2 linked regions of the Schizosaccharomyces pombe genome follow. The gene in region 1 interacts genetically with each later gene. Each region holds a gene or a part of one and is shown on either strand. Other genes may lie near its edges.

What was found.
Region 2: mutations in cap1 (region 1) and lsb1 impair growth when combined (synthetic growth defect), as found in Schizosaccharomyces pombe (one study listed by BioGRID).

What each region holds. Positions count from the first base shown.
Region 1 is NC_003421.2:423,109-428,138, reverse strand, and holds cap1 (adenylyl cyclase-associated protein Cap1), read left to right. Parts: upstream 1-1,776; 5' UTR 1,777-1,862; coding exon 1,863-1,921; intron 1,922-1,995; coding exon 1,996-3,592; 3' UTR 3,593-4,387; downstream 4,388-5,030. UniProt on the Schizosaccharomyces pombe protein: The N-terminal domain binds to adenylyl cyclase, thereby enabling adenylyl cyclase to be activated by upstream regulatory signals, such as Ras. The C-terminal domain is required for normal cellular morphology and growth control.
Region 2 is NC_003423.3:720,422-724,611, reverse strand, and holds lsb1 (SH3 domain-containing protein), read left to right. Parts: upstream 1-2,157; 5' UTR 2,158-2,268; coding exon 2,269-3,159; 3' UTR 3,160-3,605; downstream 3,606-4,190. Other genes in the region: copper chaperone Sco1, read right to left, coding at 62-853.

The sequences.
Region 1 (5,030 bases):
CTTGAGTTGTACAAGCCGACCGCAGTTACCTTTACACATTGTGCCAAGAAATTTACAGTTACTTTAACTGCCTTGGCCCTTTTCATAGAAGTCTAATGAGTTAGTGACTGAAGGTAAGATTAACCCCATTGTCTCACTTACAAGTCAAGAATATTAAAGCCAAAGTGCAAACAAGACACCAAAATCCAAATAACGTCCATTCCGCTGCACCATAATTTTTAAAGAAAGCGTCTTTATACTTTAGATAACAAACTGCTAGAGCATTGAGTAGAACGATTGGAGTGAATGATATTAGTAGTTTAATCAAAAAAGGGGAAGAATCATCTGTCGTCCCGGAAGAATGGTTTTCTCTATGTATGTTAGGAGGATTGCTTACACGTGCGTAATCTGTTTAAATTAATATGATTGAAATACTTTAGTAAAGAAAGTGCATGTATCAAAGTGTGTGCATGCATGGCCGACTATAAACAATGATCACATCCAAGTTATTTTACAGCAATGGCAAGTTTCAACTTTCAATTGAGTAATTCCTTTCTTATTATTTACAATTCTTACCTGAATATGGAGGTAATGCGCCCTCTTCCTCTGAATTATATTCTGGAAGCAGGCCTTTTTCCAAATCGATTTCATGATCTGTCTTCAATTCATCTTCTTCATCTAGAGGACTTTTCAAGGAAGTGTAATTATTCTTCATTTCATCAAGATAATTCTTTATTTAATAAAACACATGCGCGAATTAATTGCTGTGATTGCGACAAACGAAACAGCGAAATCAAGAATATTCACTCTGGAGTTCAGTTCCCGCCGCTCAACATAAATAAATGAGCAATACTCGTTTCAAAGCAAACTGTTTTTTCAATAATAGCAAGTGAAAAGTAGAATTCCAAAACTCATTTTCAAAATGCAATTGCTTCTGACACATTTATTTTGTCACTGCCCTTTTTATTCACCCCAACTTAGCTTTCCTTAAACGTTATAGGGTTCAAGACATTAACGCAGTACAGCAAAATTACAAATGCGTGTGTACCGCCTTATTTGCCAGCAGCCATTTAAATTAATAAATAAAAGTATGATTAATGTAAAATGACTTAGTAAAATCAATTTACTCCTAAATTATAAATCAACATAATTTTCAACGTTGTTTTGCTAGGTCTTATTTGCCAATACTGTACAGGCAATGTTATTATAGTCGTTTAAATAACTGCATTCCTTCACTTTCATCGTAAACAAATTCTTTTTAAAAAATTGAGGCATTAACATTTCAACAATGAGACTATACTTAGAGTAAGCATAGGGATATGTAGGAAAAGGATTGAACTTCGTCAAAAGTTTAGCGACTGTAAACAGCACGTCAAAAATTAAAAGCTCAGCAACGGCATCGCTGCTTCTCTTTTCCAATCTTTTAACTCAGAAAGCGTATATAGTTTCGATTGCACAACAGACGAAGCTGCCAGATTAAAAACCTTACCTCGATAATCTCTGGACTCATCTCAGCAGAGGTTCGGTGCATTTAATAATTACATTTTTTTTGGCTAAAGTAAGGTGCAGCGCGAATATGGAATTATTTTTTTATGTTAAGTATTTATGTTTGTTCACAGCCAAGACACGATCATTGCCAGTAGCTCTTCTAGCTTCAAAAGAGGGAAATAGTTATCGTTTTTTCAATTTTTTATATAATAAAAACGCTAGTTTATACTACAGCTGAAAAGGTTAAGTCGCTTTTTTCGATACCGAGTTTCATATTGCTTAAGCCGGCTCTATGTTCCTTCGTCCTCCATCCACCACCACACTTACTATATTTGTTGCGTTGCATTATAAAAATCACTTAACCTCCGCTAAACACATTTTCTTTTCGTCTAACCATGTCGGATATGATCAATATACGTGAAACAGGCTACAATTTTACCACGATTCTCAAACGGTATGTAATTGCATTAAACTGCTAAAAGAGTAATAGTCTTTAATTGATTATGCATCTAACATTTACTCATATAGACTGGAAGCGGCAACTTCTCGTTTGGAGGATCTTGTGGAAAGTGGTCATAAGCCTCTTCCCAACATGCATCGTCCTTCTAGAGATTCAAACAGTCAAACCCACAACATATCCTTCAACATTGGTACTCCAACGGCCCCAACCGTGTCGACTGGTAGTCCTGCTGTCGCATCATTACATGATCAAGTTGCGGCTGCTATCAGTCCTCGGAACAGAAGTCTTACATCCACCTCTGCCGTTGAAGCGGTTCCTGCTTCCATTTCCGCCTACGATGAATTTTGTTCCAAGTATTTATCTAAATACATGGAATTGAGTAAAAAAATTGGTGGTTTGATTGCCGAACAAAGTGAACACGTCGAGAAGGCTTTTAACCTTTTACGTCAGGTTTTGAGCGTCGCTTTGAAAGCCCAGAAACCCGACATGGATTCCCCGGAACTCTTGGAATTCCTCAAGCCTATCCAATCTGAACTGCTCACTATTACCAATATTCGAGATGAACACCGCACCGCCCCCGAGTTCAATCAACTTTCTACCGTCATGAGTGGAATTAGTATTTTGGGCTGGGTCACAGTTGAGCCCACTCCATTATCCTTTATGTCTGAAATGAAAGATTCGTCCCAATTCTACGCCAACCGTGTAATGAAAGAGTTTAAAGGTAAAGATGACTTGCAAATCGAATGGGTTCGTTCTTACCTTACTCTGTTGACTGAATTGATTACATACGTCAAGACCCACTTCAAAACCGGTCTCACCTGGTCTACTAAACAGGATGCAGTACCCTTGAAAACGGCTTTGGCAAACTTGTCTGCTTCGAAAACTCAGGCACCATCTTCTGGCGATTCTGCAAACGGCGGCTTGCCTCCACCACCACCACCACCTCCTCCATCTAATGATTTTTGGAAGGATAGCAACGAGCCCGCACCTGCTGATAATAAAGGTGATATGGGAGCGGTGTTTGCCGAAATTAATAAAGGCGAGGGAATTACATCCGGACTTCGTAAGGTGGATAAGAGTGAAATGACCCACAAAAATCCGAATTTACGTAAAACGGGACCCACTCCTGGTCCTAAGCCTAAAATCAAAAGCTCTGCTCCTTCTAAGCCAGCGGAAACTGCTCCCGTTAAACCACCTCGCATTGAGTTGGAAAATACTAAGTGGTTTGTTGAAAACCAAGTCGACAATCACAGTATAGTCTTGGATTCTGTGGAGCTCAACCACTCAGTGCAAATTTTCGGTTGCTCCAATTGCACAATTATAATTAAAGGAAAGTTAAACACCGTTTCCATGAGCAACTGTAAACGTACTAGCGTTGTAGTAGATACTTTAGTGGCCGCTTTTGATATTGCTAAGTGTTCCAATTTTGGCTGCCAAGTTATGAATCACGTTCCAATGATTGTTATCGACCAATGCGATGGAGGTTCCATCTATTTGAGCAAATCTTCGTTGTCGTCCGAAGTTGTCACTAGTAAATCAACAAGCTTGAACATCAACGTCCCCAACGAAGAGGGAGATTATGCTGAACGTGCTGTTCCCGAGCAGATCAAGCACAAGGTGAATGAAAAGGGAGAGCTTGTCTCTGAGATTGTACGTCACGAATAAGTTTTTCTCAGAGAGCTTTTTCAAGCTATATTCCTAACGGTTTCATAGTAAAGATTTAAGTTGATTTGTCTAGAGCTTTTTATTCATCTTCATCTTTTTCTTTTACTGCTACTAACGACACACTTTGCTCGATGTTTTGTAAAATTGATCAATCAAATCTTCGGCTTATTTCAGAGATACAAATATTTGTTTTCCCTTCGCTTTCGACTTTCCGATGCGATTTACCTTTTGCCCAAATATCCCTTGGACTCAATGTGTACTTCCCCACATACATCTTTATATTGAATGGGATCGGATAATGCGCGGGAAAAGTTGTTGTCCGTACCACGAATTGCTACGTTGACTTTATGATATATGCGTGCATGCATACATACGAATAGTGGTTATTTTACGAGTTAAACGATATAGAAGCTTAAATTTAGTGATTGTTTGTGTGCAAATAGAATTTATGGATGACAATGATAAGGCTGTTGTATATGACGCTTCCTCATTTCTTTTTCCCTGTTGATTTTAACTCGAAAGGATTTTAAGTGTCTTCCGTTCGCCAATTGAATTCATCATCATCTTCTTTTTGTTTTTGTTTTTCAGTCTAAACAAATCCTCTAGCTAAGGTATCATTTTCTCGATTGCTGTTTTGCTCATGTTATGTTTTTATGAAAAAAAGCCATGCTGTTCAATAAAAGAGGAAAGGAAGATTTTGGAAGTTTTATAGTTGAATGAGTTCATCTATAAATATATACATATATACATATATATAATATACAAAATATTTTTTCTTTGAGGCTTGAACTATAACTTTACAACTGTCACTTTCATTCTTACATTGTACAGCTGCCTGTATAATCTGTTTCCATTGTAGAGTTGAAATAGTACAGTAGCTTTTCTTTCTGCCAAATATTTACAGTAGTGTAGCAAGAAGCCACTATACGAGTTTTAGGAATTTATTCCGCATTGCTTTGCACTGTCCTGCGGTTTGCTATTTTAGCCAGTCGTCGTTCTTGACAAATCGGCGTTCGATCTTTAATGCCCGTTGAGATCGATTGCGTAATGCTACAACCTTATATTGAGTGTAAGCACTACCCCACAATTCGTATATATACTGTACCAACTCACTGTGTGATTCTCAACTTCAACATATCTTCCAAATAGTCAACGTATAATCAACAAAGCTCGGGACCTTGCCTAAAAGTATCTAAAACGACTTCCAAAAGCGTACCTCGAACTTGTTAAGTTTAAGGTAAGTAAAAGTGAGTATGCAAAACGATCAAGTTACATCCCAATTTGCCAGAAAAAATATTTTAAAAATGAATAAACCGACGTAAATACTACTCTTGAGACCTTTTTATACACACGAAAGTCGATATTTTTTTTGGAAAAAAGTCTTGACATAAACAGCTACGCCAGTCTTTATGTACCGTACCCGTTTCTCCGAGGTCAC
Region 2 (4,190 bases), on another chromosome or scaffold:
ATATGGAAAAAGTAGTAACCCAGCATAAAATCAAAACACATGAAAGGCTAAAGGTATTTAATTATTTCTGTTTCTTTCGGGACAAATAGTAAGAACCGATTGCACGAGCTAAATCTTCAGAGGTAGAGTTGCGACCAAATACTTCAATGAACTTACCCTCTGGATCCATCAAGTAGAAGAATACCGAGTGGTCAACCAGATAATCATCCTTTTTAGGGTCAATGTTCTTAGGGGTAGAAAAATAGACTCGGAATTTTTTACAAATATCTTTTATTTCTTCATAGGATCCTGTGAGACCAACGATTTTAGGATTGAAATCTTCAAGGTATTCAGCCATTTCTTGCGGAGGATCACGGGCTGGATCACAGGTTATGAAAATAGGATAAACCACGTCTCCAACAACATTGTTTACAATATCAATAGCTGCTGACATTTTGTCGAGCTCGTCGGGGCAAATGTCGGGGCATCTGGTGAAACCAAAGTAGATTAAGGAAAATTTTCCCTTGAAATCGTTATCAGTAACTCGATTTCCATGATGATCAATTAAAGAAAAAGCACCTCCTAATTGGGGACGACCTATGGTAGCCAAAACCTTGTCGTTTTGCCTCTCCAACACTTTTTTCTTTTCATGTTGGAAATAAGCATAAAGGCCAACGCTTGTTGCAGCTGCAAGAAGCAATGCTCTTATAGAAATCATTCCACGCCATGATTGGTATGTCTGCGTTCGATTGTCAGTAGCTAGATTTTTGCGACCGTCGGCAAAACGCGCTAGGCACGTACGATTCAAAGGAAATCGAGGACGAATCAAGCTGTAATGACAATGCCTAGAGAAAACTAAACCCCTTCGAAACATTACTTGATTTGAGTGATTGCCAACAATCGATTCAAAAATCGTAATATTTGGACAAGACAAAAAACTGAAGTTAAAACAGTAACAAAAGTATAACCAAGACTAGCAAGTTTTAAAAAAATTTAAAATCTTTTCTGTCTCTTCAAATACAAAACGGAGAAAACAATTTCTCACAAAGAATAAGCCTCTCCAAGTTAGTCCAATTTCACGTCAGTATGGGTATTTGGGTGGTAATGAAGACGTTGAAAATAGAATTTCACCAAAATTACTGCAAACATTTTAGCGTTCAAAAAAAACGTAATTTTATCGCTAATCCTTTAAAGAGTTCATATGCATATAGCCGCTTCTCCAATGCTGTAATTTCAATGTAATCTAAGTTTTAATACGAATGAAAATAGACACAAAATATGAATTTCGTCAAGGATCAGAATGACTTATAAATGAAAGAATCATTACTCAAACGGTTACTTAGCTTGTTCAAATCGCTATATTATAGTATGTGATTATTGAATATTTTTTTTTGGAAGAATAAAGACCATGCATACCGTCTATGCGGCTTTGCTGGAATTGTCAAATATACACAACTTGTGAGATTTATTTTTATTTTTGACAAATAATAAATTTCCGTTGGAAACCAATTATACTGCGCTGAGACGCATTTGTTGAGAGATTGAAAATTCAATTCACACAGCATTCTAAAGCACCAAAATCATTTTTTTAAAAGCCCAGATTTCAAGTCAGGATACAAAAATATTACTTCTACTTAGGGATGTTTTCAGGTACCTGAAGTGAGATTTGAAATTGAAAAATATCGTCTGGATAACTATACTAAGGACCTTTTTTATTTATACGAAAACACAGCTAGTGCCATGCTTTTTTGTATGTTTTTACGAATATCTGAAAGCAAAGGCTCTACATACGGCGAAATTTAATTGAGACATAACAAATGGTTAGAAATTCCTATTTCATCAAATTGTTCGATATTTTGTAGCCATACCTAGGAAAAAATTCTTTCTCAAATTTTCAATATTTTTTCCTGATACATTGAACTTGACAGTTCAAATGTTCTAAGTTAAAAATAATTCCACTTAATAACTTGCTCACATAATTCAATTTTTTGAAAAATTCTAACGAAAACTTATGGCACACAAGTTCTCATTTTACTATATAAAAGGATTTTTTTAAAAAAAATTGCATTGTTTTTCAGCCCCGGTGGAAAGCATTGGAATTTTGGCGCCACGATCTTCGTATGTTTTTTCCATATATATACCTACCAGGTATACACACCAAGCGGTAGTTGTAAACCTACCTTCCGCCATTACCACTAATCAGCAAAACTTTTAAAGATTGATAAGAATTAACTGAAATAATTTTTATTTGAGATCTTAAAGAGTTAAGTAATAAATTTCCATAGAAATATGGATCATAAAAACTACCTGAATCATGTTATTCGTGGAATCTACAACGACTTCCAATTCCTTGTTGATGAGGGCGTAGTTGAAAGGAGTGCTTTGGATTGGGTTCACGCAAATATCCATTTACAGGACGGTCCCGCTAGTCCTGTAACTGCTCCAGCTGCTCAACCTGTTGAGTCCTCAGTACCCCTTCCCTTGCCCAAGCGGAAGAGCTCTGTGGAAAAAAGAGCAGGATCGGTAGCGTCTGCCGTAGCAGCAATGTCTTTGTCTCAAAACTCTGGAGAAAAGAGGACACCCGAGGAACCTCGTAAGCTGCCTGGAGTGCCTGCCCCACAGAAGCAAAGCGAGGCTTCAAGTGTCAATTCATCTACCGAGAAGCTTCCCCCTCCTCCCAGCTATCCTGGACCCAATACTGCCCATAAGAACGTTGAGCGGGTTTTGGCGATGTACGACTTTCCTGGCCCTGATGCTGGTGATTTAGGTTTCCATGCTGGCGAAGTTATCATTGTACTTGAGCATGTCAATAACGATTGGTGGCGTGGTGAATTGAATGGAAAGGAAGGAATCTTCCCTTCTAACTATGTGCGTTTGTTGGAAGATTCTGCCGTTAAAGCTCAACCTCCTCCTCCTCCACCACAGCAAAACTATCCCCCAGCAGCATCTTCTTCGGCACCTCCCATGCAGTATCAGCAAACAGCATATCCACCTCAGCAAGCACCATATCCACCTGTCCAAGCCTATCCTCAGGCGCCTCAACAACCCATCGTGGTTGCACAACCGACCGAGCACAAGCACTCATCAACATTCAAGAAGATTGGTAGTGGTTTGGGTTCTGCATTTGTATTCGGTGCTGGTGCAACTGCTGGCGCTGATCTCGTCAATTCCATTTTTTAAATGCGAGTTCGTTTCTTTCCTTTTTCTATGCTTTTTTTCTTCCTTTATATAAGTAAAACTTTCTGTGTGGTTGAACTAGCACCTGTGTTTGTTATCGTTGGTGCGCAGTTGTTTTTTATTTTGAAATTTCCAAGTAGAAATTTCCGTATATCGCGAATGCATTTCCCTTGTTCATGTTTACTCCTTTGGTCTTTTGTCTTTTTCTCGACTATGCTTTATGCTTATAAAGCAACACCGCGGCATAGCTGCTTCTTCATAGATTGAGACACCTCATTTATGTGTATGAATTCGATATCCAAACATTGTTGCATATTCTTTATGATTATCGATGCGTACTATTAAATACGCATGTCTCTTGACTTTTGTTTATTTTTAGTGTTTTTCTTTTTACGACTTTCATACCGTTTATATTTTAATTCCATAATAAAAAAAATAAATTACAAAGCAAAAATATGATTAATAGGGAACGAATGACAGTGTATTAGATTTGTTAATATGCTATGGTAAATTGTTCTATTGCTTAACGTATATTAAAGCAAAAAATAGTAAACGGATGAGGAAGTATAAATTAGGTAGCCTTTGTTAGAGATTTAATTACGATGTCCGGTCAGAATCGTTTCCATTAAGCAATAAAAAAGAATCGACGTGGAAATCCCATGAATGTAAAGACTCACATTATTAAAATGGGAAGATAAAGTAAAAACTGGAGACAGCGAATGTCCAACAAAAATGGAAGATGTATGAATAATGATGAATCAAATTCGGTAACACGTTGATGGGGATTCCAAGAGAAAGTAGCAGAATTTCAAAAAAAAAAGAGAACGACAATAAAAATGAACCTTTGTTTAAAAATAAAAGAAGTCAACACACAATAAAGAATAATGAGACTATGAACAGAAATGAAACTCAAGGGAGAATTGTTATAAAAAGCGTCTGAAAGCACTGGGGAATGAATGAAAGGACTAAATTTGTTTTAATTTTTTTTCTTTTTTGTTGTAAAAATGGAAAACATGAAAATAAGTATGCAAGTT